4 linked regions of the Lytechinus pictus genome follow. The protein of the gene in region 4 purifies or fractionates together with the protein of the main gene of each other region. This does not show direct contact. Links are inferred from orthologs where the notes say so. Each region holds a gene or a part of one and is shown on either strand. Other genes may lie near its edges.

Region 1 (7,243 bases), on a different chromosome or scaffold from region 4:
CGATTCATTATATAGCAAGATAATTTTTGTAAAACTTTTTCCCACACACTTTGGACTGGGACAATGATTACAATTAAATCTCGAAATATTTCTGGTGACTCAGTGACAAACTCTTATGATCATCTTTCAACATTTCTGTAAACATCAGCTTATCTGCCTGCTCCATGATAAATCGTTGACGACCGAGGGGCTTTTTTTGCCGTCACCCTCAGCTAAAGGGAGAGAGAGGGGGAGATAGAGAAGAAATCATAGGAGAAGTGAGAGAGGAAAATGTAAAAGAGTATAAAGAAGAAAAAATGGCCGCGTCGCAAAAAATACAACGGAAGAGGTATCAATCGAGGCCGGAATAGGAAAATAATGAAATGAAAAAAAAAGATTAAGAGGAAGGAAAATAAAAGGAAGAAGACAAGACGAAAATGAGAGTTGGGGGACTGACAAATACCTGTACCCTTCATTTAGAACAAAATAACTATTCAGCCTGCGCTTCGTGCCCGCATTGCCCGTTTGTTTCATTATTCATGTCTTGTTTTCAAGTCATTCTCGGTTTGTAAGATAAAACATCATTACAAAAGTGCTTAAAATGTCTCATTTTTTCTCTGAATCAGGGGCGGAAATCTTTCCCAAAAAGTAGGGGGTGAGGCAAGGGGCTGGAAAATTTGACAAGCAAAAAAAATTTGTTCATGAATTTATATGACACTCGATCTCTTTTCGATCTCTTTTAAGACTGACTTTATTATTCATGCATTACAGTTATAATCTGCTCTAGCTAACATAATGAGCATAATAATATAGGCTGATCAATCGAGCTGATTTCTCTTAGAAAGTTGTACAAGCAAATATTACCACTATTTTTATTGAAGCGATGTTTCTTATGAGGTAGGCCTATACTGAATTATGACCTGAAATAAATTCAGACATTCCTACATTGTTTACTCTTAATTTTTATCTCATATTAAATTCACGAGTTGAATTAGTAGAGTAATCAGGCGTTACCATGGCAACATACCATTACCATGCATTCAAATGAACTTATATCCATGCAGAACACTCTGTTGTTTTCGATATTTAATTCAAATGAATTAGTCAAACCTATATAAATTTTGGCATTTTCATTGTCATTTTCCACCATTCATCTTTTCCCACCATAATGTTGATTTATGATGGCAATTCAATAAATGCCCCCAACGTCATTGGCCAAAGTTCATTTACCTTAAATTACCTTTGACCGTGGCATGACCTGAAACTCACTATAGGATTTTCACTGACTCCCTTATTTCTAAGTTTCATGATAGGCATTGATAGCTATAAAAACCTGTAGGCCTATTTCAAACTTATGATTACATTTCACAAACATATCCTGTTTTAAGATTTCAATGTTTACGACGCCGCCCGCGCGGCGCCGTCGGAAAAAGCGGCGCCGTCTCGGCAGGCAATCAAGACAATTGTATTTTTCTGCGGGAAAGATAAGCCGTTACCATGGCAATGGATCTTTTGCAAATACTTTGATGACTTGATAGGCCTATATCTAGAAATCGAATTTGGAAGGCTTAAGAATGATAGATTGGACCATTTAAATTGACAGGGTAATGTGCCATATATATAGGCACAATATGTTATTTTTTAAAAACATATTAATCAGTTGCCATGGCAACGGCGGAAGGAGGCATTTATGAAACTGGCAACAAGCGGATTCATGTTCAGCACCATCAAAATAGAGGAAATGACACAAAAAATCAGATTCTAAAGAAAAGTCTACTTGAAAAATTATGACAATTCCGTTTAGGCCCTATACTCTTACAATGATTATCATACACAATCAGGGTGAGCGGAGTTAGGGCAGGCTGCTATCTCAAGGTATGCCCTCGCTAATTCATTCACACAACAAATATTCATTCTAGAAAAATTTGTCATGACGACATATCAGGATCTCCCGCACCTACGACTCTCACATTTTCTTTCATCATATAAGAATATAACATTTTTCACTGTTTTTAGGAGTTTTTAAAGTGATTGAAAAAAAACGTAATTTGGTGCAGTTGCGGTACCGGTACAGTTGATCGAAGTTCAAACAGTTATCGGGTTACATTTAAAGCAGTATTTCACGATGAATTATAAATTTAAAGGGATTGATTTTATTTTTCCACACTTGGTTTTTTCATGTAATGGTCTCCTCTTGGCAGTAGAGGCGCTGGTCCAAAAATTGGGATTGTCCCAGAAAACAAGGATATCCTCATAAACCAAGACAAATCATGTCTTGATATTAAATTGAGACTGTCCTTGTTTATTATGGGGACGTTTTTTTTTCACTTCCCCCTACGGGACAAAGACAGCAATTACGGGAATTGAGAGTGCTAAAAATAGATTCAGTGACCTCAATTCCCCCCAGTTCACCGTCTATTTTTCATGACTTACTGTCTTCCAATAATCTTGTTATGAAACCCGATATGTTTACATTGACTAGCACACTTGAATGGTGTCGGCACTTGACAGGTGAATGAACTTTCCTAGATTTCTTGTGTGAAGAAATCCTTATAAACTGAGACAGTCCCTGTAAACTGGGACGATCCCAATTTTCTGACCAGCGCCTCTACTGCTTGGCTGCTTAATTATGCGAGTATACTAAACAATAAGGAATTTGGGACGAATTTAAAATGATAATCATAATAAGCAGCGTGCGCATCGCGCTTTTTTCAAGTGAGGGTGAGCGAGAATTGGGCAGCGTCCGGTACCGGTACCTACCGGTACCGTAGGCGTAGTGAAGTGGAGTGGAGCCTGCACGAACTTCGCTCGAGCCTCGAGGTGATGATGCCAACTCATCTAGATACTAGATCTAACTTATTTGTTTCGGACCAGAAGTGATCTATAACTACTTACACTTCTGCATTTCTTCTTTCCTTCTCCATTTATTGTAATTCTGTGCATAACTCTTATTAATGCCGAATTCCACTGTTTCATCAGCCATGGTCTGGATTTTGGAACGAAACATGTTCGGAATCTCGTCAACTACGGTGTCGCTGTTATACAAGAAAACAAAATAAAAATGAAAAACTTCTTTTTATACCCCCAAATAAATACTGACCTAGAATATTCTTAACGCAGGTATGTCATGCTGCAGGGCCCTGGGAACGATTTTTACTCAATTTTTTACTCATAATTATGGGACCCACATGAATTCCACTTACCCCAAATGGGATTCATCTAGCGTTTGCACCCGGGTTCCCAAATAGGTTCTGAATTATTCGCCCAGAGGGCCAGGGCTGGGGCCAGTCAAATATTGCTGAACACATGCGTGACCCAGGAATTTCCAAAAAAACCCTAAACGAGTTTTTCCCTGTGTGCAAAATACCCCCCTAAACAAGTTTTTTTGCAGGTTATATTTTCACATTTTGGCCCCTCAACAAGTTGTCGCCAATATGACCTGGGGGCCGGGGGGCCATACCCTAAACACGTTTGGCTAGTCTTTAAAAAAAAAAAAGCCTTGGGGAAAAAACATACCATAAATACGTTCGACCCCATGACTGACCATTGACCAGTCTTTCAAAACCACCCTTTTTCTTAAAAATTTGTGTTTTTGATACCCTTAACGAGTCCACGCGCAAACCGCGTCCAAAACTGAAAAAAACACCCTAAACACGATTTTTGGTGTGTACAGCAATATATATTTGACTGCTCCCCGCCCCCCCCCCCCCCGGGCCAAAGGGACCACTTACATTGACGAGTAGATACCATGCATGCGGGACCAAAAAACACGTAAAAATTATGTCTTTTGACGTACGTAAAGTAATATTAAGGGTGTCAAAAACACTAAAATAATTTTTAAAAAAAGGTATCTACATGTATATCGCTAGGAAAGCTACGTGTTTAGGGTCAGATTTGCGAGGGTATAAACTAAAATGTTTTATAAAGGATGTACCAGTACTTTTTGCCGGACTTTTTGCCCCGTCAATTCCGTGTTGAGTCCGAATTGCGCAAGGTGTGGGAGGTTGGGCTGTATACCCAATGATGTAGTTAAAGGGGAATCCAGCCTTGGCCATTGAATGATGTGTTGGGAAGGAGAAAAATAAATTAAACAGAATGATGAAAATTTGAAAGAAATCGGACAAGCAATAAGAAAGTTATAGCTGCTTTAAAATTGAGATCACTAATACTATGTAGATTTCAAATTGGCAACTGGGTAAGTAAATTATGACAAGGGGCAAGGACAACTTTCCCATAGGCCATGTACTTTATTATCAGGGATTTGTGGTTTTCTCCTAAGTACCCATTCCCCTGTGGTAGTAATCTAAATATAACCCAGGTAGTATATTGTTTTATGTCCTCATGAAAGAAAAATATAATTTGAAATAAAACTTTTTGGAAAAATTACATTTTTAGCCATAATATGTATTGGAGTACATGGAAGAGTAGTCCTTGCCTTACATCACTATATGACATCCCATATGCGGCCAATTTGAAGTCCCCATGGGTATAGTAATTACCAATATTTACAACTTTTAAAAATTCATAACTTTCTTGTTGTTTGTCCATTATTGTTCAAACTTTGACCTATCAACTTGTTTGATTTTTATTTTTCTTATAAAAACAAGTTTTTATTTGGGTTGGATTTCCCTTTAAGGTAAAACCGACGACCGCGTACGTCCGTGACATAACTAAAATATCGCTGTTTAGGGGTTCAATTCAGGGAATATAGGCATTCAATACACCTTTTATCATGAAAATCAAAGCGAGCGTGAAGCGCGAGCTTAAACTGTTTGATATACCGATAGAAAAAGAGTCAATTTCAGCTCTATATTTCAAGCACTTTGTAGGAAAATTGTGAGGTGGATATGGATCGCGCTAAACGAGCTGATATTTTTTATTATAATTACTTTGAGTTTTGACATAGGACCGGGACGGCTCGGTGTAAAAATGGCAGAGGTAAAAATGGCAAATGTAAAGTAGGCAGAGGTAAAAATGGCAAAGGTAAAAAAGGCAGAAGTAAAAATTGCAAAGGTAAAAAAGGCAGAGGTAAAAATGGCAAAGGTATAAATGGCAGAGGTAAAAATGGCAAAGGTAAAAAAAAACAGAGGTAAAAATGGCAGAGGTAAAAATGGCAAAGGTAAAAATGACAGAGCTAAAAATGGCAAAGGTAAAAATGGCAAAGGTAAAAAAGACAGAGGGGAAAAATGGCAAAGGTAAAAATGGCAGAGGTAAAAATGGCAGAGGTAAAAATGGCAAAGGTAAAAATGACAGAGGTAAAAATGGCAAAGGTAAAAAAATACAAGCTCTCTGATTATATCATTGGCTAAGAGCAAATTTTTTCACTGACAAATGAAACAAGCTATCTGATTGGCTAAGAGCAAATTGTTTCACTGACAAATGATACAAGCTATCTGATTGGCTAAGAGCAAATTATTTCACTGACAAATGATATGAGCTATCTGATTGGCTAAGAGCAAATTATTTCACTGACAAATGAAACGAGCTATCTGATTGGCTAAGAGCAAATTATTACAAATGAAACGAGCTATCTGATTGGCTAAGAGCAAATTATTTCACTGACAACTGATACGAGCTATCTGATTGGCTAAGAGCAAATTATTTCAGTGACAAATGATACATGATGCATGTTTTTTAAGGAGGTGTGTGAAATTATGATTAAAGATAATAGTAATATAAATACATTTTCAAGAATTTGTTCGATGGTCTTATAATAGACTTATACATGTGTACAGTTATTTATTTATTTCACCAAAAATTGAAATGATTGTGAAAGTTTAACATGTTTAAGGTATTCATTAAGAAAGTTATAATTATTATGTATGTTTTATCTTGTTCATATTTTAGATCATTTAACATTTCAAGTATTTGCTAAAAACATTTCATGTATATATTTTTGCGATGATGTGTAAAGCCTCTGTGTTAGAACGAATTGTACATCTTGAAATGTTTTATATTTAATCAATTAAGCATCTGAGAATTTGAGCATTTATATTGTGACATTTGGTGTATCATTTGAATTCTGAACCTGATATTTAGAATTAACTTTTGAACGCTTACAATATGTATGCTAGCAAGATAGAGCCACGCCCAGAATCATTGCTACCGAAGGGACCTAAACCCGTTTTCCTTCGTCAGTGCAGACGATGTGAGGAATACTCGAGGATAGGGCTCTCTCGTCGGAGGAACTATACATTTACCTGTCAAAAGTTGTTTCTACCGAAAACATCACAGGAATTCAGCAGATACGCCGACTATGGAGAGTTTATCTCAACTCACACGACGAACGGGTAAAGCCCATTGCGGATGGTCTACCCATTCGAGGGGCGATATCCCATCTATGATGTAAATCCATTCACGAGACTGAGAGATGAAAACCTTACAAAAATCATCATCAAGGACATCCCCCTATCAGTCGGCGATGAGCTCATCAAAGCTGAGCTCCAACCTCCAAGGCTATGAAATGCGACATACCAGGGGACATTCTGCGCCAAAAACTACGAGTTAATAATATTGGCAGTTAACATCATGTCTGAATGGTGACAGAGTCCTGCACATCAGCCATCCTACAAAGCCCCTCCCAGAAAGATAACCTTCGGAGGTACCTTCATGCATGGGGCGAGTCTACGGCCCCCCGGGGGGGGGGGGCACTCAGTATATAATGCATATAGTGGGTATGTGCCGCGGAGGGGACGTACCCCCATTTTTACACTCAAATTTCCGTTCCAAGGCATAGCATTTTTGTCTTATTGAGAAAAAGAACAAAGAAAGCCGCTCCATGCAGGCATATAGTATTTCCTTCTTATCGAGAAAAAAAAAGAAGAAAGAAATCCGCTCCAAAGCTTCGCATATTTTTCGTTACGCCGTTCCGGTCGCATTGATCTGCTACAATTTTGGTGAAAAGCGGCCGTAGAGCGCTTTTCGACCATCGCCTAAGCGCGAGCGCACCCGGCGGAGGCCGCGCTAGCTGCGTCATGCACGATTGCCCGTTCCATAGCTATGCATACGCACTCACAGACATACGGAGATCCGTTCCGAGGACCCCCGTTTTCACAAACATTTGTAGTTCCCAAGCCCGTTCCGAGGACCCTCCTTTTTACAATAAGCCCGCTCCAAGGCCCCCGTTTTTTTGCCTCGCCCGCGGCACACCCCTACCACTTTTTTGGTCGAGTGCCCCCCGGGGGGGCACGTACAAAGTCAGTGCCAGCAAAACGAGAATGTGCTACGTAACGCCCGGGATACCGCAACAGTCATCCTAGATGAT
Region 2 (7,070 bases), on a different chromosome or scaffold from region 4:
AGAAAGGAATTAATGAAAGAGAAAAAAAGCTAAAAGGAAGAAATAAAAAACAAGAAGGGGTAAAGAAAGGATGGATGGAAGAAAGAACAAAGAATGAAGGAAAGAAAGGGTAAAAAGAAGGAAGGAAAGAAACAAAGAAAGAAAGAAAGAAAGAAAGAAGAGATAGATATAGGATGGATGGACTCAAGAATTAAAGACAGAAAGAAATAAAAATAAAAATAAAAAAAAAGAGAAAAAGAAATAGAGAAAAATATTTTTTTTAAGGACAGAAAGAAGACAAAGAAAAAAAGGAAAATTAAAAAAGAAAGACAGTAACAAAAAACAAAGAAAGATTGAAAAGAAAGAAGGAGAGAAAGATATAAAGAAAGCTATAACTATCATGATAGTATCATCATATAAAAATTATCAGTTTCTTTTTGGCTCATTTAAAATAAAGCTACGAAAGAAACCAAGTGTATCAAAACACACACAAATGCATATGTGGGGCTATCATGTATTCAAAGCGCCGTGCCGGCGGGCTATCGCCATGGCATGGCATTGCATTGACACTCGATCGCTCGTTGTGCCTCGCTCAAAAACCCAGCTTCATAGTAAAATTTTGATGTCACCAGCTCTTCACGCGGGGTACAGTAAGCCAATCGCAACTCAATATCTTGTCTTAGCGCGGCAAACCGAAACCAATTTGCATTGATGGTTTAGCTTTGCGCTTGTGTGGTTAAAAACTTTGAAACTTTTGCCTGGCCGTGTTATAATGTTATTGAATATCCAATATAGGTTAATAAAGAGGCGCGATAGCTCAGTAGAGCGGGGGTTTCGGATTCCGGTGACCCGGGTTCGATTCCCAAGTGGTGCGCTAGTGCCCTTTGCCTTGGTAAGGCATTTAATCCTCATTACCAGGTCCCTCGGAAAGGACTTTAAGCCGTTGGTCCCCTGGTTGCTTGCTCACAGGCATTCATGCTTTCTTAGCAGTCAGGTAAAAAACCTCGGTACTGTCTTCAGGTATTAAACTTTTTTTCTCTCTATTTTCGGGGTTTAGCTTGAGAATTCCTACGGCTACGGTCAGCGTGAGAATCGGGTGAATTGTGTGCGACTCACGCAGCTCAGATTGTGTGAGAGTTGGCAGCCCTGAATAAAGACAACAAATAATCAACAATCGATGAGCCTTGTCGCGTCGCATCGGGGGGATTTTGCATTGTTTAATGTTAACATGATCTATTCTAAGTCTAACGACTAACGTTAATGGTGGCTGCACGTGCACGATAGCGAGCCGTCTGTGTCTGACAAGCCTCCAGGCTACTCCAGGGCCATGCTAAGTCAGTAGAGGCGCACGGCCAATATTGGAGACTATCTCCAATGTGGGAGATTATCTCCAATATCAGAGACTTTTGTAAAGAATTTGGGTATCCAATTTCAGAGACGGTCTCCAGTTTTGGAGACCAATTTCCTTTGTTTACATTTGCTGCAAAAGGATTACCTTGGCGGCAAATAAAAATGTGATAAGGGGATTCCTAATGAAAAATTACCCCTTTTCACCGTCTACTTTAAAAATTCACCGTCTACTTTAGACCAAAAGCTTCGGTCTCTGTTATGTTGGTTGTTCAGCTGAACTCCGTTGGCTTCACTCACCAAATACAGAGACCGAAGTTCTAGCGCGATCTGTACAGGGGACTCAATGGCCATATGTTTATGTACTTAAGATCGGATAAAACGGGGAAGTGAATTTGCGCGACAGCCGAGGTAAGTCACTGTTTTTGTTCCTTTTAACTCGATTTTTCGCCGTTTCTTGGCAATTAATGCCAAGAGGGAATATCAATTTGCATTTTGGTCGCATTAATTTTCAAAATGTTTATTGATTAAAGACAAAAATTGAAGAGCCCCGACGGGGGGATTTTGCATTGCAAGTCCCCTAATGGTGGCTGCACGCTAGCGAGCCGTCTGTGTATGAGGAGAACTTAAAAAAAAAAATGTTAAAAAACTCCTCAAAACAGACGGCTGCCAGCTGTCTACGTCTACTTTTGTTTTGATAAGGATTTTTCTTGTCAATCACACACAAAACAAATGGGCTTCTGACCTCAGTGAGACAAAATTTTGGGTGGAAATAATCACGCTTTTGTTGGTGTTGTTTCTTTTGTCCTTTTGCAAAGCAAGTCTCCAATGACATGTGGGAGATTGTCTCCCCTATTGGAGAGAGTCTCCCATATTGGCCGTGCGCCTCTACTGTAAGTGGAGCCAACGCAGTTCAGCTGAACAACCAAAATACAGAGACTGAAGCTTTTTGGGCTATCCTGAGCTGAGCCCCAGCTCCGCCTGAATCATCGGCGGCGTCTTTTTCGAGCTGCCGCAGCGCGCAGTAAGCGGCGGAGCGGAGCACCTTCACTCTGCATGCGCATGCTTACCTTTCCCACAGTCCCACTCGTAAGTTTTCTAAACATGTTTGGATCGTAATCAGTTAAAACCTCCATTCCAACGAATCCACCCATCTCTTCGTCAGCAAACGCTGACATATCCACTTCGAAAGGTTTCCAATTCTGTTCATCTAGAAAAGCGGGCTGTTTTCGTGATTCTCTCTTCATTTTGTTGTATTTCTTCAAGCGCTCGCGCCGCTTCACGTGTCGAATGGAAGTCGCCATCTTGATTTGATAACCTTATATTATAACTTGATTTAAGGCATAGCACAGCGTATGCGCACACAGTCTGCTTGAAATGCTAAATTCATCCATTCCTGCGTGAACATAATTTTTGTTACTTTTTAAAACATTCCTGTGAGTTTAAAAATAAGTATATAGTTTTAATTTCTTTACCTCCATTTTTATTGTATTGTCAATATGCTCTGTCTCGCTTCTCACCTTTTTTCATGAAGAATTCATATTTCTAATCAATATTTAACTCCAAGCACACCGCCGGTATTTGGGGGGAAATGACGCGTGGCGCTTAACTTCGCGTATTTTTGAAAACGCCCTGAAAATGACTAAAAACATCCCCTCAGAAAAATCAACGATCCTCACATGTTACACTCTAAATATGTGCATGAAATTTCCATATAAGGATATCGTGACCTTTCCGATCATGACCCTGTATTCTGCTTCCGTGGAAACCAATTTATGGTCACACCGCAGGCGATTTTACCGTGTGGCTTGGATTCTTCATATCTCCGGTATTCAAGTGTATTTCCGAAGAGTGAAGTACTTGTTACATTTTTTAGGGATGATATTATTTTGTCCTGAAAATGAGTGTAACTAGCAAGGAAATGGCTTTGAATTGAGCAAACCAAATTTTGGTTCACGATTTCGAGGTACTACGCGCTTGACTTCAATCATGGCATCCGCTGACTTCAGCGCAGAACATACACGAATACTCCAACTCACCGGATGGACTGCCGATGAAATTCACTCTCTTGTACACGAACGGAAATGTCCTGGTGAGTAGATTTGTGCCGATTACGTATTCTTAATACCCGATTGATTGGATTTTTATTATGAAATGATGTGAAATGGTTGTGATTGTGACATGAAATGTGAAAAATGTCGATCTTTTTCAAATATCTAATGAACAATTTTGCCGTGATTGTGCAGAGGGAGTGCGCGCAAAATTGCACAGCCATTTCTCCAGTCGACCGGCCACATTCGCCGACCGAATTTTTCTTTTCTGCGCATGCGCAGTTTAAGGTATGGATATTCCATTGCCTCTCTCCCTCCCTCTGGAACGACTGTTTTCATTTTCCTCGTACGTTTTTCAAATCAATAGTTGTGTGATGTCAGGCAATTCAAGAAATTAGACTTGAAAGTCAAATTTGTCACTTTTAATTAATTGTTTGGTCATATTTACTGAATTATTTTGTCTCAATTGTGCCCATAACCAATTCTTTTCCTTTATTAATTAATTTTTTTTTAGGGGGGAGGGGGAGGGGGTGGGGGCCTCAAAGAGACATAATTACAAAAGAAACAAATTATACTTTCAAATGGGCTTTAAAAATTATTATAAGCTAATAATTATTTCTCATTCTCAGAATTTCTTTATACCATTGCTGTGAATAACACATCCTTCCCCTATCAATTTTAAAACCCTTTCTCTGTTTAGTGCCCGTTCATAATTATTTTTTTTTAATTCATTGACAAAGAATTGTGGCCCCCCCCCCCCCTGCCCAATTTTTTTTTTTTTTTTTTTTTTTTTTTTTTAAGAAACACATATATTGGTTCAGTCCTAATATTTGTTTTGGTCTACAGTATGTGCATTTATTTTCAAGTTTCACATTATTTTTATTTTATAAATCCAGACTTTCCCTCTTAAATTAGCAAATATTATCCTTTTATTTAAGGTAGCAAACACTTTTTAATGTCAATAATTAAAGTTTAGATCAATAATTGATTGATATTTTTTTTCAATTATTTGAGTAAATATAGTAATTAGTATGCCGTTGATTTTAAATCACTCAGGCAAAGAACCTACATTGACATTTTTTTTTTCTTCTTCCTTTTCTTTTAATTACAGATCACTGGTGGGAGGACCCAAGGCCTACTTTTGGCTTAATGGAAATCATCAGAAAATGTGTTGATGACACTGAGAGCTTGAGCTTCCGGAAAGACTTTGTTAATATTTTGAAGAGCATGGGCATCAAAGAACCTAACTGCACATTACCTGGAATCCTGTCCAAAGTGAAACGCAGTGCTTTAAAAGCAATCAGTGCTGATAACTTAGAATCCCTATGTGAAGAATATACAGACTTGTCTGGGTCTAATCGTGTTATTGGTTCAGCATGTCAGCAATTGGGAATTACTCCTGGTTTGTTGAAAGAAGGATGCAGTAATTTACAAGGAGATATCTCAAATGGAATCATTGTAGAGCTATTTCATTATCGTAGACGAAATTCCATTCCTTGGAAGACTGTTCTTGATGAGTGGTGGTGTGCACTTTTTCCAGAAAAAACTGGTGAAGTACCACATAGAGGAACTGTTATAAGTAGTTGGAAAAGTGTAGCCACAAGGAGGATCAAATTGTCCCGAGATTCATCAAGAGAAAGGTTGGAGGAATTTTTAAGAACTCCCTACTGCTATCCAACTAAAAGACCCATCAATGAAGAGCAACTGGAAGATGACCATCCTGATGGAAATGAGCCTCCCCTGACTACTAAAGATGACAGTGAGCTTCCCCTGACTACTATAGATGACAGCAACGAGGACATCGTGAGCACATTTGATGATGCCACTAAGAATAAAAGAATAGTTATGAAGAGGTACCAAGACAAGGTTAAGGATATGAAGAAGGAAAGGCAAGAGATGATGGACAGACAGCAACAAGCAAAAGAAGAAAAGAAGAGAAAATCAGTAGCAACAGCAGTCAGAGCAACTGAGATGGTAAACAAGTTGTGTGATGGTCCTTGTACCTCCAGTGCTGATGTGGAGTCCATGATGGCTAAGAAGGCTCCGTCTGATCAAAGAAAGGCTCTGTTGGCACAGATTGACTACTACAAGTCTGTTAACAAAGGATTGGTCAAAGGTGCTTTGTTTTTTAAGTCAAAGGCTGGTAAACCCCTAAGCGCATCTGACCTGTGTGACAACTTAAAAGAGATAATTCAGGTTGTTCATTCAGCCCCCATCGGTCAGTCAGAAGATGCTGAATCTGGTACATCCTGCACATTCCCTGATAGTGACACTCTTCAAGAAGAAAGGAAGGCATTAAGAGAGAAACTGCTATCAAAAGTGACAGGGAGAAAGCGCAAAGAACCCTTTCCTGAAACTACCATTTTACACAAAAGAATTAAACACAAGTTTCTTCCTGAAGGTGGCAAACGTCTTGTCACATACCATGGCAGAGTGTTGAGAAAGAGTACTCAACAGGACATTGAAGACTTGATGGAATGTAACGATCAGGAATATTTCGACAAAGGTTATACATTTTACACCCTTGTGTATGACAATGACGAGAACCTGTACACATATCCTCTTGAGAAGGAATGGGAAGATAATTGTCTGGAGCTCATGTAAGAAAGGCAGCCAAAGTTATTCATTTGTACAAAGGAAAGAAAAATGATGTCTTAACTGAAAATGAACTCTGCACAAGAGATTTTGGCCCAAGTTCACTTCAGAGTTATAGCATTGATTTGAGAAAGATTACTTATCAATTCATCAGGATATTGAAATGAATACTTAATGGATCACTAACCTTTATTATTTGGACAAATTATTTACATATCAGACTTCTATGGTGGTTTGACAATGCTTAGTAATGGAACATATATCTTCTGGAATTCAGTAATTCATCCATGTCGACAGATAAAGAGGTATGTGAAATAAATTTGCTATCTTTTTTGTGTGTTTGAAAAGAAACTATTCATGCACACACCGAAAATAAATTTCGTTTTTACTCAATGTAATTGCATTTATTGCATGAATCCACCAATTACAATTATGTTCAGGGAATAACACTAATGTACAAATTATTTTTACTCAGTACATGTTTATAGCTGCTCTTTTTGTAGTAAATCAAGATTACTTCATCTTTTGCAATACATAAAAACATTGAATTGTAATATTTCCTGCCATATTGAGACACTAGTTTGTGGTACATATAATATGAATGTCTTTCAAAATTTTGTACCAGTCCACCAATTAATTTTTTACTCTTACAGTTTATACAAACCTGCAATCAAAAATCTACCAGGCAGATTTTGGAAAATTCTAATGAAACAGCATCTGTTATATTATTGTTGTGCTAAAAAAAAAACACAAGTTCAATGAATGAGGTAGAATATCTTATGCAGACTGTCCAATGGCTTTTACTATGCCTTGAATGCCCTCTTATCCCTTCTCATCAGGTTGTCCGCTCATTTGTGTCTGGCTGCAGTTTCCCCTTTCTCGATTTGATTCCCTTGGCTGTTGCTCATTGTCCTTGTCATGACCTACTTGAAATGGGATGAAGATTACAGTTATTTTTTGTTAAATTGTTTGAAGTCAGAATTCATAGAAATGTATTAAACATCAATGTTATTAAAAATTCAATTTATTATGCTAAAATTGGGAATATATTAAAATATCTAATGAAACAGCATCTGTAATATTATTGTGATACTTGAA
Region 3 (7,352 bases), on a different chromosome or scaffold from region 4:
TGGACGTGTCTGGAGTGAATCGTCCGATATATATTTGGTCACATTACACTCGCTACACCTTCAAATGGGATCGTACTTGGAATATTTTCATTTTCATGACGGGTTTCTCCCCATTCCCCAAATCATAGCCAAACTTCTCATTTCTCAACTTCTGAAACATAATCACACTTCTAACAAAGATTCAAGACAAGATTTAATCACAGTAACAGTAACTAATCACTTACATTCATCACCAGTAAGTTTTACTGCAAAACACATCGATTCATAACCGACCACATACCGGTACTCCGCGGGCGCACATCATAAACCTTTCTGGCACGATAACGCCTTTTAAGTATTGTTGTTTACGTGATGATGGATATCAAAATTTATAGTGGATATGCCATTTAAACTGAAATAAAGGAAAATGTGTGTTTTGTAATTTATATATTAAATATTAATTCATGAAAGAGATTTTCAATTGACAATTATCATTCTTTCATAATTCAATAATTCTACCAGAATAAAAAATGAAGTTTTGATCCTGATATAAGTTTCTACGAACAAGTTATCAAAATATAAACATACGTGAAATATTTAATATTTGCAAAAACACAAATACAATTGACATCTAGATAATGGACAGTTTCATTCTAATTAATCATTATTATTGACAGTTCAAGAAAGAAAAGGGATGATTCATTATTTTGGATTTGATAAATAAATCAAAAGAAACAAAATAAAACGGCCAATCAACATGTATTTGACGTTTACATGATTTCAAAATTATCTTCATTCTTCATTCATATCGAAAGTTGATTTGAGAAAAAAGTACTGAAAATGAATATTTCGTTACACATTTCAATTTAAATAAATTACAAAAAACAACATGACACACGCAGCCAACATTCATTCGACGTTTTCATAGTTTCAAAAATAATCATCTTCATTGGTAACCAAAGTTGCTGTGAGAAAAAGTAGAATTCATTTTGCATTTGATGAATAAATTACAAGAAACAACATGACACACGCAATCAACATTTATTCGACGTTTTCAACTTTTCATAGTTTCAAAAATAATCATCTTCATTGGTAACCAAAGTTGCTGTGAGAAAAAGTAGAATTCATTTTGCAATTGATGAATAAATTACAAGAAACAACATGACACACCCGAGTAACCCGATCAACATTTATTTGACGCTTAAATGGTTTCAAATTATCTTCATTCTTCACTCGTATTGAAAGTCGAGGTAAGAAAATATACGATGAGTTATGCATTTGAAATCATCAAAACATAAGATGGGAAAGAAAAACGATCTTAAGCGACACCATAGTAAAATCGCCATCGTTGTCAGAACGGAAGTTTCCTCCATTCACGGATGGTCATGCTCCAAAACTGATATAAAAACGATGGTTTTCGGCGGGAATATATTACCGAAGAAGATTAATTGATATTGGTGATTATATTGGCGACTAAAACTTATAAATTTTGTTGGTGAGTCTTACCAAATTTAATGAGTTTTTGTGACAGGAAGGTGGTGAATCAGTGTCCACGGATACCCGAACCCGAAAAATGAAAACCGTTATCCGTCCACGCGGGCGGAAATCGTTCGGATATCTGTTTGGTGGCAGCACTAGTCCCAAGAACAACAGATATAAAGTAAACTTAAGAACTCTGCACCTCTGTAAAATTTGGTGATTATTTGCCTATCCCTGTTCAAGTTATATCATTTTCGCATTTTAATTAGGCATTTTTCCCATTTGTTATGTACAAATGAATATTTAATTACTACCTCATTTGCATATTATTGTATATATGCTCACAAGATCAACATATATGAAAAAAATTACAAACACTACATCTGTGTGAAATTTGTGATTACCGTAAGTAACGGTGTATTAACCGCACCTTTTTCTCGGCGGGATATAAGCAAAAGTCGGGGGTGCGGTTTATACACGGTGACGGGTCTGAGCCCGCCCGCGTAGCCCCTCCCGAACATGTAAGAAGTCTGCCAGTTCACAACACATCGAGTGGCCGGCCGTAGCCGCCCAGTGCAATGTCGTTTAGAGGGGTATGAGCCGCGGGTAATGGGTAGCAATTATTATGATCTTATGATCAAATACTGTCGTAACAAATGCACCCACCTTCATGACACTAATTTCGACTTTATTCTCGATTCAAAGCAGCGAAGTTCCCTGGCTAAGTTCATAGAGACGCCAAGCATTCTCGGTAATAATTTGTCACAGCTGATTTTGGTTTTAGTGCGACTTAAGCTGGCGCTATTCATTTAATTTAACCCCTCAAAGTCCCGTTTCGCGCCAGCTTATTTTTTTTCTTTCCCGTACACCGTGCACCACGCACGATAGAGACGGCACGAAGCCGTCAAACAACTGGAAAAAATACAAATTTCTTTGTTTCTTGAACCTTCCTGTAATCCCGTATCCAAAATTCATGCTAAGACATCGAATGCTAGACAAATTCTGAAAGTGATTGTGAGGTTGTGATGCAAGAAATGTGAAAGACACAGATCACAATTTGATAAGATGTACTGGTAGTGGTACCGTATCGAAGTTTGAAATGTACATGTACAAGAAAGGCAGTGCTGTGTGTGTGTACACTGTGACTGTGAGGTGAGTGAGTGTGTAAATTGCCAATATTGGCGGGACCTTTCTTTCTTGCTAACATTTGTAGATGAATTGATCAAGAACAGCAGATTTCTGCATACTGGTAATCTCTTTGAATACTTTGAAATCTTTAACTTAGTTTTTGTTTCTTCGTACCTAAAATATGCATGTAAATGTGAGGATTTTTTTTTTTTTTTTTTTTTTTTTTTTTTTTAGTCCAAAATTGGGGGTGCGGTTTATACACGGGTGCGGTTAATACACCGTTACTTACGGTAATTGCCCATCCACTTTCAATTTAAGCCATTTTCACATATTAATTAGCTGGACTTAGTCATTTTTTGCCAACTTCCTCTGGGTCCAAAGGTGAAAATTTGTGTTTTCCCCATATTTTGAACTCCGTTAATATGGTGTTTAACATGTTAGGAACCCCCAAGGAAAAGCAACCTCTATACTTCATCAAGTTTTAAAATAGGTAGCTTTAAAAATTGCAAAAAAACATATTTTTGCCACTTTTTGGCAGAAAATCTGCCTTATTTTTTAAATTTGAATTGGCCGTATCTCGGCAACCCCTGGTCCAATTTTTATTTTCTTGGTGTCATTTTACTCGTGTTTCAGAGCTTATTCCAGATAAACTATTTAAAACTAGATTAACAACACTTTAATTTTTGGGGTGACGTCCCTACTAAAAAGGGCACCGTAATCTAGATAAGGGAATTAATGAAAATTTCAATTTTATCCAGTTATGTTTTATGAATCTTTAAAGATTTTTCTCATTTTACCTCATAAAGTAAGCTCGATCGATACATCAATTCTACAATCAGTAATAAATAAAAAATTTGATCTCCTTTGATTTATTGAAATATATGATTTTATAAAAAGTCGTCATTCAGAAATAAAACTAAAAGTAAAACTCAAGGTTCATGTGACGATGAAGACTAAATATTTTTCCGATACTATCCGATCGATATCAAAGTTCAAACTCAAAGTTCAAACAACGTCGCGGACTTGAGTTGAAATGAAAGACAAAATTGCCTTCGACTTCGTGAAACGGAAAGCGCTGATATTATTATTAGTGATATGTCGCCAATCTTCCTATCTCGGAAGAATGGTCCTAAGGACGTTCCTACGTATCGCTCATCTCGTCATGCAACAGGCCCATGGATGCTAAGCTTAGCTCATAGCTGTCTGTCAGTTCTGATCCCCCGATGGCGCGTTGGCGATCGATGGGATGGGTCCCGTCGCTCCATCTCCATCTCCATCTCCACCGGCCTGCCGCGACATCCCCGCTCGATCAGTTCAGCCGTGCTCCTCTACTCGCGCAGCTGTAATCACACCATTGGACAACCACTGAACTTATAATGATTTATATTGCTTTAAGGATTAATAATTCTCAATTGTATACTTACAAAATTACAAAATATAAAGAATTCGCATCAGAAAAACAAATTCTTACCACTTTTCCGTGATTACCGTGGCACTGGCAAGTAAAAATTGAGAGATCAATGAAGGTCTTGGAATAATCTATTTTTACAAGAGGGGATAATAACAAAGTGCTGGACAAACGAAAATTATGAAATAGGGTTTGTCTGTTTCAGAAAATGCATACAGTAAAATACTCTGAAACTTTGAAAAAGAAATAACCACATGCCCATTTCTTGCATCTAATTGAGTATAATATGGAGGGCTTTTAAACTTAATTTAATAATATTTTTCCAATGGTTTATTAGAACCCTTCAATAAGTGTTATTCGAACAGTCCTTAAAACAACGCACAGGGAACTTGCGATTTGCACGTGTATTTAAAGGACGTCTGTGCAAGGCAATCTCAAGAAATTGGAATCAACCAAGTAAATTAGATATTTTATATATATTATACATATTCTTCTGCTTTGCGACTGAACTTTTGTGGGTATTAAAGAGTGTGGACTAAGAAATGGGTGAGAATTCATGTTATTTTGTTATGAAATTGTTCGTTTACTTTGTTGTTGAAACGATATCTTTTACCATTTTGTCGTGTGTGGTCCCGCGTGTTATAAATGGTGTTTCTGAATCTGATGTAACTTAACCATCATCAACTGTACGTGTATACTGCACTGTATGGATATGGATGGCACGGGGGGGGGGGCACTCGATCAAAAAAGTAGGCCAAAAGTAGTGGGTATGTGCCGCGGGCGAGACAAAAAACGGAGGCCTTGGAGCGGGCTTATTGTAAAAAAAAAAGGAGGGTCCTCGGAACGGGCTTCGGAACGACAAGTGACGAAGTGTTTGTGAAAACGGGGGTCCTTGGTCTTGAAACGGGTCGCCTGCGTGTGATTGCGTATGCATCCCGATGGAACGGGCCTCGTGCATGCAGCAAGCCCGGCAGCACGGGCGCTTGGTGCGCTAGCGCAGATGCGATGGTCGGACAGCGCTCTGCGGCCGCTTTTCACAAAAATTGCGGATCATTGTAGCAGATCAATACGGCTGGAACGTCGTAACTGAAAATATGCGAAGCTTTTAATTTGGAGCGGATTTCTTTCTTCTTTTTTCTCGATAAGAAGAAAATGCTATGCTTTGGAGCGGCTTTCTTTGTTCTTTTTCTCAATAAGACAAAAATGCTATGCCTTGGAATGGAAATTTGAGTGTAAAACTAAAAATGGGGGTCCCCTCCGCGGCACATACCCACTATGCATTATGTACTGAGTGCCCCCCCCCCCCCCGGGATGGATGGACAGTGGCGGACCGTGACCTGGAGGAGACAAAGCATTGGAGGGGCACAGCATTGTTCACAAACAATACAGTGCCCCTCCAATGCTTTGTCTCCTCCGAATCACGGTCCGCCACTGTGGATGAATTAAGTCATTAACGACTAACGTTACTTACAATTTACATCATACTAATTACTGTGCATTTGATTTTGTACTGATTTCTGATAAAACTAAAGCAGAGGAAGAAGAAGATGCATGATGATCGGGTGTAGATCTAGAATAGGTTCAGCATTAACCTGGTTTAACTTAGCCAGGACCAGGAGGCTCCTAGAGAGTAAAAATCATTTACTAACTAACGTAGACTCTCCACGGAGCCAGGGATTCTATTGCATTCATCTACACATACCGCCAAAAAACCTCAAACTTTCGCCCCCGAGATTTTTACTTTCCTCCTAAATAATCTAGCCCTGAATCATGTAAATGGGATACAACTTCATTTCCGACATTTCTACGCTATCAATTTCATTTTTAAACAAGAATTCATCAAAAAAAAAAGAAAAATATTATGAAAAGACGAGGGAGACTCGCCCGATGTTTACGCCGCCATCTTGTTTTCTATTGTTCTTCCCCAACGTTACTGACTGAAGAATTGACATTAAAAGAGAGAAAGAATATTGATGACCAGGACTTGGGGACGAGAGAAGAGAGAAATAGAAAAAAAAGAGGGGAAGGTCGAGACTCGGAGAAGAGGATATTGATTGTTTTTGGTAAGAGAGCGAGAGAGGGGTGGTGAAGGGGAGAGGATGGGTTGATTGGAAAGAGAGAGTGGGGAATTAAGGTAAGCAAGAGACTGGAGATAAAGAAAAACAAAATCAGAATGAAAGAGTGAATTGGGAATTTACACGATATTAGATGGTATACCGGTATTGAAGCAATTAGGAATACTGGTATTAAAAATATCAATACTGAAAAAGCTTACCCAGGATATCGAAAATTCTAATTGAAAAGCTTTGATAAAAGCCTAACTTCACAAACGTAGAGGGCAGCAACACATGGCTGCCAGTTTTGCATCTCCCGCAAACAATTTTAAAATGTAAGGAATAAATCATTGGTAACGTATATTTTCAGTATTTTATTTGAAAATAAGTAGTATAAAAAAAAAGCTTAAGAGTATAAAGAAAAATGTGGCCCATCATTAAAGATGATATGTCATTTAGACCTAAATAAAATTAAAAATCAAGACAAAACACTATAGGCCCAAATTGGGCGACATGATTACACATGCGGGCTGGCACTAACATACTACTGTCGGTGAATGGGGATAGTAGTAAGATGTCAGAAATTGTCAAATGTATCCCCTGAAATGATGGTTATTCCTGTCTACATTCTGTTTTACTTGTATGTTGTAATTAATAACTAATTATTCTCAAATCTCGATCTCATGAGCTGTGTCTAACTTAAAAGAGTAATGCCATTAATCTCAGTCCAAAATACTGGAGGGATTACCAAAGAGGTACCTCAGGTGATGATTCATGTAGGCTCCACTACACTTCACTACCGCTACACCTACCCAAACCATCAGGGTACATAACTCGTTCTGAAACTCCTAATGACACTTTATTTCATCACTTTATGTGATGAAATCATAAAACTCATGCAACAATGTGACCTTACAAACAATCAAAAACTAATCTTCTTGCATTTCATCCTGTCTCACTCCTTGTCCTTGCTTCTGTCAGGCTCAAAATTGGTGATTTAAAGCCAGTAACAATTTCCTCGCACGTATTAATTCACTGCCGATTCCAAAACATCGCAAATGCAAATTGCGCATGCGCGGGTCGGGGTTTGCAGCTCAAGATCATGAATATTCATGAGTATTCCTATAGATCTGGATTGTTTCGCTATTTGCATATTCAGGGAAGTTTATCATGAGAAAAAGCTTAATTGTATGTATAACAGAAAAAAAAAAAAAAAAATATTGTTGAAGGTTTGAGAAAATCCATCAAAGAATAAAAGTTATTAGAAGTTTAATTATTGGATTTGTGATGTCATATGCAAGCAG
Region 4 (8,021 bases):
CTTTTGAAATAGATAAATATTTCGGGTGCAACTTTTCAGGTTTCATCAATATCTTACAAACACAGAAGGCAAATGGGATCTTGCAGCTCAGATTCAAAGTCAAGTCATAAAGTTAACAAATATCCCAAACATTCTAGTATTTTTTGTTCATCTTTTGGCCCCAGGATTTTGTCCCATAATAATAGGCCCTATAACCACGTTCAGCTTCCTTATATTCTGTTTTCATTATTTTTTTTCTGCTCATTACGTTAAGCCATCCTTGAACTCCATTAGATGCGGCTGGTATAATCATGTTTGTCCAAAAATGATAACAATGCACATTCGGTAGTGTCGTCACAAATCACCCTCGGTGGGCCCCTATGTGATTTTACTTCAATAACTGCAAACAATTCACATCAAATATACTGTTTCAAAAGCAACTACGTGAGTGATTTAGACTACACATAATAACATGACGATCGAAAAATGATCTGGGGTATGAAAGGGAACTACAATAGCAAATAAGTTGGAAAAATTCATTCTGAAGGTACATGTTTATTGTGTCTCACAATGATTCAATGATGTGTGACTTGGCCTCAAGTGGCTTGACGCTTGATAAATAATGCTCCAAATAGTGATTATTTATTTTTTATATGCGAGGTCAGAACAAAGTAGAGAAGCTGCTGCTGCAGTAGCAACAGGCATAGTTATGCATACCTTTCCCGTCTGTGACATTCTGAGTGGATGACTGCGAAAGGTTGAATAAGTAAAGTTAAGATATAATTTGATGAATATTCTGAATGTTTAGAAATGTATTTTCAACCCCAACCCATTTTGTATAAGTAAATGTTTATTATTTCAAGCTAAATCTTGTACTTCAACGTAGTGTTTGACTGTACACTTCAAAGCCGATACAAATAAATTCCATGTAGTAGCCGAGAATACATTTTACTTCCAAAATTTTGATCGATGCACGGCACATTTTATATGAATGTTTTCTTAACATTATCACAAGCAGAACTGTCATATAGTAACTATATTTTATCCACATTTTTTAAAGCGTAAACTAGTAAAAAATAATGACGTAACTAAGGTTTGGGCAATCGTTGGACAGTGTGTTTTTGTATGCGTTTTGTACATGTATTATATGCAGCCTTTACCCCCTCCCAAATAAAAATGCAAAGTAATTAAAGCAAAGAAATAACACTGATTTAGAGACATTCTTGTTCGACATCACATTTTGTAAGCATTCAATGCATATAGGGTCTAATAAATGTATCTCCAATGACAAAAGTAAGGTTCATTTAATTTCATTTGAACCTACCTGGCAGTCCAGTGAATCTATTATCTGTACTGTGTTGTATATTGGACTAATAACGCCGTACATTTCATTGCATGAATAATGATAATGATAATAACTATAACATTTTATTACATTTGCATTATACTTGCATGAAAACGTTTTATATTTTCACCATGTTAAAAAAACATTTTCGTATTAATAGTATCACGATTCGAATATAATTTGATTTTTGCTGACTTTTTGAAATTTAGATATTTAATGAATAAATCAATATTAAGCAACAGGAATTGAGGTCGAATGTAACAGAAACAATACAATTATGATCAATGATGATAAAGATAATGATAATCGAACACTGAAAGGAAAATATTATAAATATATAAGCCCATGATTTAATAAGTTGGCAAACAGCCACAATGAACCGCAGACTTTGAGAGGGTCCGAGAAGTGGCGCACGGGGAAAAGTTCAAGAAAGCTGCGAGTGAGCGAGCAATAGTTTTGACATTTTTAACATAAAATTCCTTTTCTCATTTTTTTCTTGGTGGTATTATTATTATTATCTTTATTTATTTATTTATTTATTTATTATTATTATTATTTTTTTTTTTTTGGGGGGGGGGGGGGTTCTAGCCCCAAAGCCCCCCACCTCTGTGCGCCATGTGCATCAAGTAATAATTGATATGAAATATACACAAGGTCAAGGACAATGCGCTCGATGGACCATGTTATCATAGCATGCACATTTTGTACAGTCAAATGAGAGTTCATTATGTTTATTCGTATTCCTATGATATCACAGTCAAAAAGTGTATTCATGCAAATTATAAAACACATATAGGCCTACATCATCACAACACAGTCGTATTAATTCTCACACACTCACAGACACCATGGATCCTACTAGATCCATGGTGACACATAAAAGAAAATACTTGCATTTTCTTATTCAGTATAGAAATGAAACACAGTAAAATGAAATTGGACATATTTTGAACAAAATGTATAAACATAATATCTTAATATTTCAAGGAGTAAGAAATGCATGAAACAAGCACAGTATGTTTCTGATTCTCATTATGGTAACTCCGAAGGAACTCGACAGGACAGCTTTTTGCTGGTATAATGCCAGCTGAGCTGGTACATAACCAATATTAATTACCAGTGAATATAAATGTTATTACATTAAAAACATTTATAATCACTTGACTTTCGTAAAATGTTGTCTGATATGCGTTCTGAAATCCGGTTGCTTACCTTAATAATGTTTTAAAACGGCTTTGGTGAGTTGTAATAATGACTTCCTCTTCTTTTTTCTTCTTATTTATGAGGTGTTGTAAACATTTTGATGGGGGTAAAGCGATTAAATGTGTGTTTATATGATGAGGGAAACAATGATGTATGTTATAGGCCGTTTATGATGCTTTCCGGTATAAGATAAAAATGAAAACTTTGATTATCGTTTAACAGCTAGAGTAACGAGTAAATAGAGTAAATTTTGATACATATGGTGGTGTTTTTTTTTTGTAAAAGGCATTTAGGGTCATACAGTTTCCCCTGAATCTTTGACATTAATTATTGAAATCATTTAAAAATGAAAAAAATAATGATCTCCCCACAAAATAAACAAACAAACAAACACAAAACAAAAAATAAACACAAACTACAAACAAAAGGAAACAAAAACACAAAATAGAGGCAACGTTCAGCTTACTTTATCACCTGTTTAGTTCTCGATTTTTTAAGAGAGAACCATAACAATCCGTCGAGTTGATTATGTTTGTAACCAAACAATAATTTAGCGACATTTTCTATGTTATTGACGCGCTACCATGGGCCAAAGGCATGGTCGATCACGCGAAACACGCGTGATACATCATAATAAACATTGATTGGGAAGAGTTGTTTGGGACATCTTTTTGAGGCTATAAGGCAAGACTGAACATCATGGTTCAGTTCGCAATGAAGAGCATAATACCCCCACAATCATAGTCCCTCAAAAGAAAGGCAATAGACAAAAACGATCCCCAACGATCCTCTTGAACATAGATACCCACAAGCATGCATATCATGACAAGGGCGATTCCGATCCCACGTTATCGCTTGCACTGCAGGTGACTATGATAAGATAAGATGATAATAATACTTAATTTTTACATAGCTCAAATTAAGAAGAAGAAAAAGACAAATAAGAAAAGGAAAGAAAGAAGAACAAAAAGACAGAAAGAACAAAAAGGAAAAGAAGAAAAGGAAAGAAAGAAGAAGAAGAAGAAGAAGAAGAAGAAAAAGAAGAAAAAGACAGAAAGAACAAAAAGGAAAAGAAGAAAAGGAAAGAAAGAAGAAAAGAAGAAAGAGAAAGAAAAAAGAAGGAAGAAGAAGAATAAGAAGAAAAAGAAAAAGAAGAAGAAAGGAAGAATGAGAAGAAGAAGAACGAAAGAAAGAAGAAGAAGAAAAAGAAAAAGGAGAAGAAGAAGAAAAAGAAGGAGAAGAAAAAAAAGAAAAAGAAGAAAAGGAAAGAAAGAGGAAGAAAAAGAAGAAGAAAAAGAAGAACAAGAAGAAAGGGGAATAAGAAGATGATGAAGAAGAAGAAGAAAAGGAAGAAGGAGACGAGAAAGAAAGAAAGAAGGAAGGAAAGAAAGAAAGAAAAGAAAGAAAGAAGAAGAAGACGAAGAAGACAGAAAGAAAGATGGACAGATAGATAGATAGATGATAGAAAGATAGATAGAAAAAGGGTCTTTTAATTCGTGGCATGCAACTTTAGATGAATATTTTTGTCGAGGGGACTGTCAAATCCGGTACAAGGTCCGGAACAAGGTCCGGAATGTATATGAAAAGAAAAGGCGGATGACGTCATGAAGTTAATCTTTATTAATTGGATTTTTGTTTGCTTTATCCTTTTTACTTATATGTCTTTTGCACATTATCAGTTGTTTCTCTTTCCCCCCACTCTTATGCACCAGTTTATTATGCCTTTCTTTGTAACCTGTTTGACCCACCTCTCACTAATTCTCTTGTTATTCATCTCTTCCTCCACCCCCATCACTGTTTTGTTCCAGATCCTGTTTGATGTTGCCTGCCCAATTGTCTTGATCCCTCACAGCTTTATTAGGGTCTTTTACTGGCCTTACTTACACTGACTTCCCTTTGTGTCTGCCTACTCCGATCCTTTGCTTTCATCCCCTTCTCTAACCTGATTGGTCGTCACAACTCTCTAGTGCCCTTTTTATAGACCTACATTGAAATAATGTATTTTCAGCACCTAAATCTTCTTTTGTTGGGTCAGAGACTAGAATAAAAAGAAGATAATCCTGAAATCGATCAAACCTCAAGATATTTTAACATCAGAATGGATGAATAAAGGTCGAGAGTGAAGAAGAGAAGCTGCACACCACGTGAAAAAAACTCTAACCAAAAAATGGGGGAAACCCCAACTCCGAAACACAAGCAAGTGTGCTGAACTAGTCTGGCAGCACAAACTTTTTTTAAATATTTAAACCCCTCGCTTCCTAAACATCCACTTTTGCCCCTCCCCCAAAAAAAAAAAAAAAAAAAAAAAAAAAACACACACAGCGAGGGTGATGATGCCGGAGTCGCTTTCCTCTGCCCGGTAAATAGTGGGAGACAGGTTTAAATCAAAAAGTAAAACCGTTCCTATACCATCTAAATTTTGAGAAGTCTGTAGACCATAGGCGGATCCAGGGGGACCCGAGGGGCCCGGGCCCCCCCACCTTTTGGCGGAGCAAAAAAAGAAGAAAAAAAAAGGGGAAAGAAAGAAAAAAAGAAAAAGAAGAGGAGAGAGGAGAGAGGAGAAAAAGAAGGGGAAACATAAGAAGAAGAAGACGAGTGAATAAATTAAGATGAGGGGAAGACTTGGAAAATAATTAAGAAAATAATTCATGTCATTAAAAACAAAATGTTCGCCCGCGCTTCGCGCTCGCATTGCCTTTTAGCTCATTTACATATCTTGTTCATTATGGAGTTTAAATATCAAGTTTGGAAGTCAATATATAAAACATATTTCATCTCGGAAATCGAACTTTCATTATTTTGTGTAATTTATTTTGATTTTTTTAAAGTGCTCTGAAAAAATGTCAGTTTTATGCTCTGAATATTAGCATTTTCTGCGCGCTCGCAAATTTATCAGGTACCTATTATTTTCGTGTATTTCATAAAGTTTACAAAATATCCCTTTTCAGGTCTGATTGTTAAAACGTATCAGCTAGCGCTGCACGCTCGCATTTTGATTGGCGAGTTATGTATGTCTCAATATTGATTATACAACAAACTACTTAAAATCCCCTTTTCATGACAGTGTATAAAAAATTTAGGCTCGCCATTTGCGCTCGCATTAATGGTTAATAACATATTAACTGATTGAAATGTCCAGTTTTCAGGCCATCATATCATCAGATTTCGCCCCCTCATTAGGCATTAATGAATAAGATATTAATTTAATAATTGAATTGTCCCTTTTGTTTCATCTCGAGCTTAGCAAGAGGAATAAGAAGACAGTCTTCATTTTCATATGATGAAATGTCCTAAGGACATTATTATTTCCAGTTTCAGATCACAATATCATAAATTTTCTGCTCGCGTTTTGTGCTCTCATTATTAATGTAGAAAGATCCCCTATTACCCATTCTTTTCATTATTTACAAAACATGAATAGAGTGTCCCGTTTTTTAGGTCTAAATCTCTAGTTTTTCCGCTCGCGCTTAATTCGCACTCGCATTAATTGTTTAGTTATATACCTATTATGTTCAAGTTACAAAAAGTGCTTAGAATTTCCATTCTTCGGGTAAAAATTTCAACAAATTTCAGCTTGCGCTTTGCGCTCGAATTATTTGATTTTTAAAATAGGTAACGACTTCATGGCTAACTGCATGCAGTCTTTAACAGGTACCTTTTCCATCAGTTCACTTCTGCTCGCGCTTCGTGTTCGTAGTAATTATTTAGTTGCATACACATCTTTTTCAGGATAACAAACATTGCCCAGAATGTTCAAATTTTAGGGGAAAAATACACAAGATTTCCAGAAAAAAATTAGCTCGCGCTTCGCGCTCGCATTATATAAATAAGGATCATGTATTTATGTTGAGTAATAAGAATAAAGCTAAAAAGTGACTATTAGGGCTACCCCTTCAAAGAAACCAAAAATCGAGCGGCCGATCGGGGAAAATATGGCTGAAAAAAAATCCGGGCCCCCCCCCCTATTGGCGAAGGCTGCATGATCCGCCCCTGTAGACTATTATCAAAGTTTCCATTCACGGAACTAAAATACCACCACGTGGTCCCAATCGATGCACGTGACCTTGTGTTCACGCTTGGATCCTGGAGCGAGCAGCTTTTTATTGCGTGCGCATTCTGCGGGAGAATGGACACCCATTCACTGGCGTTCGGAGTCTTCCACCAGAACTGAACGAGGCGCCAGAACTCTCACGTCCTATATGTGCGGTGTATCTGATTAAGGTTGATTCGATTACTTTCTCCAAGGCAGAAGGAACGTTTGTTTTACCACAGAATGCCGCCAATTAATGGAAGTGAACTTGCTTTGATGCAACTCCAAGATGACTTTGGCTATCTCAGGGAAAACATGGATCATTTTTTTCTTCTGGTGATGTCCTGTATCATATTCTGTGAGTATATAAAACTTTTGTGTCCGAGTGAGATAGTTTTAGACACAAAGGTTAATAGATAGATAGGTATACAAACATATATATATATATATATATATATATATATATATATATTTAGACTGAAAACTTTTATTTTTGCTTGTCAAAATTTTCCTTACCAATCCAATAAGCTTCTTTTTTGCCAGTCAGACATTTTTAAACAAGCCAGCATCCTGATCCTGGGCAGCACCCACTTTTTTTAATTTATATATATATATATATATATATATACAGTTGAATTTGTGATATATATGACAAGTTAATAAACGATTGAAACATAGCAAAGGTAAAAGTATGTTTGCATATACAGTATGCAGAGTTACGAAGTATAAAAACAAAGTTAGCGATTAATCGTACGCTTGATTTTCACGATTGATTGTGTTTTGTAGTCAATGGAATCAATCGTAGAAAAGTGTTCTACGATCATTGCTAAGCTTTTGGTTACGGGCCCCAGATTACACAGTATTCTTTCATATTAATACGTACATATTCATGATTTTCACTGAGGCTTGTATAATTTTCTATCAACTTGTTTTTATTATGTATATCATCTCATTGTATTATACTTTCATTTTATTTGTACCGAATTAGATAAATAACTTAACACAGAGAGATTATAAGTATACAAATGGCAATTAAAGAGTGGGTGCTGCCCATGGTGCTGGCTTGCTTAAAAACGTCTGACTAGCAAACAAAAAACTTATTGGGGGTGAATTTGGTAAGAAAAATTTTGACAAGCAAAATATAAAAAGTTTTCAGTCTCAAATTTAGGTGATTTTGGTTGATCAGAGCAAAATTGATAACCCCCCTCCCCAAAGGGTTTTTTGCTCCCTAATGAACTTGGTTTTGGTCAGAAGAAAATGACAAGCAAACAAAGGAGGGCTTACTCTCAAATGAAGGTGATTTGGGTCAAATCTCTACATTAAAGCATACAAACCTAATTTCCAGAGGGCATGCAGGGGTAATGCATGCGCACCCTTAGAACATTTTTGCTGGTGCTTCAATATCCCCGCTTTCCTATCAGGGCCATGGTAATACTTCGGTTTTGGTTGAAAACCAATAAGGAA

Evidence for each region.
Region 1: the proteins of KRR1 small subunit processome component homolog (region 4) and protein KRI1 homolog purify together in Homo sapiens (affinity purification with mass spectrometry; 3 studies listed by BioGRID and IntAct, with this or other methods). This does not show direct contact. The link is inferred for Lytechinus pictus from reciprocal best matches to the Homo sapiens genes KRR1 and KRI1.
Region 2: the proteins of KRR1 small subunit processome component homolog (region 4) and ATP-dependent RNA helicase DDX24-like purify together in Homo sapiens (affinity purification with mass spectrometry; 3 studies listed by BioGRID and IntAct, with this or other methods). This does not show direct contact. The link is inferred for Lytechinus pictus from reciprocal best matches to the Homo sapiens genes KRR1 and DDX24.
Region 3: the proteins of KRR1 small subunit processome component homolog (region 4) and ATP-dependent RNA helicase DDX18-like purify together in Homo sapiens (affinity purification with mass spectrometry; 3 studies listed by BioGRID and IntAct, with this or other methods). This does not show direct contact. The link is inferred for Lytechinus pictus from reciprocal best matches to the Homo sapiens genes KRR1 and DDX18.

Annotation. Positions count from the first base shown.
Region 1 is NC_087255.1:3,240,799-3,248,041, reverse strand, and holds the start of protein KRI1 homolog, read right to left. Parts: upstream 3,008-7,243; 5' UTR 2,987-3,007; coding exon 2,875-2,986; intron 1-2,874.
Region 2 is NC_087261.1:25,557,180-25,564,249, reverse strand, and holds the start of ATP-dependent RNA helicase DDX24-like, read right to left. Parts: upstream 3,024-7,070; 5' UTR 2,808-3,023; coding exon of another isoform or gene 2,802-2,807; 5' UTR 2,631-2,801; coding exon 2,397-2,630; intron 1-2,396. Other genes in the region: uncharacterized protein LOC135157277, read left to right, coding at 3,316-3,418, 4,489-5,981. UniProt on the Homo sapiens protein: ATP-dependent RNA helicase that plays a role in various aspects of RNA metabolism including pre-mRNA splicing and is thereby involved in different biological processes such as cell cycle regulation or innate immunity.
Region 3 is NC_087248.1:10,997,092-11,004,443, forward strand, and holds the start of ATP-dependent RNA helicase DDX18-like, read left to right. Parts: upstream 1-4,330; 5' UTR 4,331-4,536; coding exon 4,537-4,540; intron 4,541-7,352. UniProt on the Homo sapiens protein: ATP-dependent RNA helicase that plays a role in the regulation of R-loop homeostasis in both endogenous R-loop-prone regions and at sites of DNA damage.
Region 4 is NC_087253.1:12,255,052-12,263,072, reverse strand, and holds the start of KRR1 small subunit processome component homolog, read right to left. Parts: upstream 3,015-8,021; 5' UTR 2,994-3,014; intron 1-2,993. Other genes in the region: putative ammonium transporter 1, read left to right, coding at 6,801-6,915. UniProt on the Homo sapiens protein: Part of the small subunit (SSU) processome, first precursor of the small eukaryotic ribosomal subunit.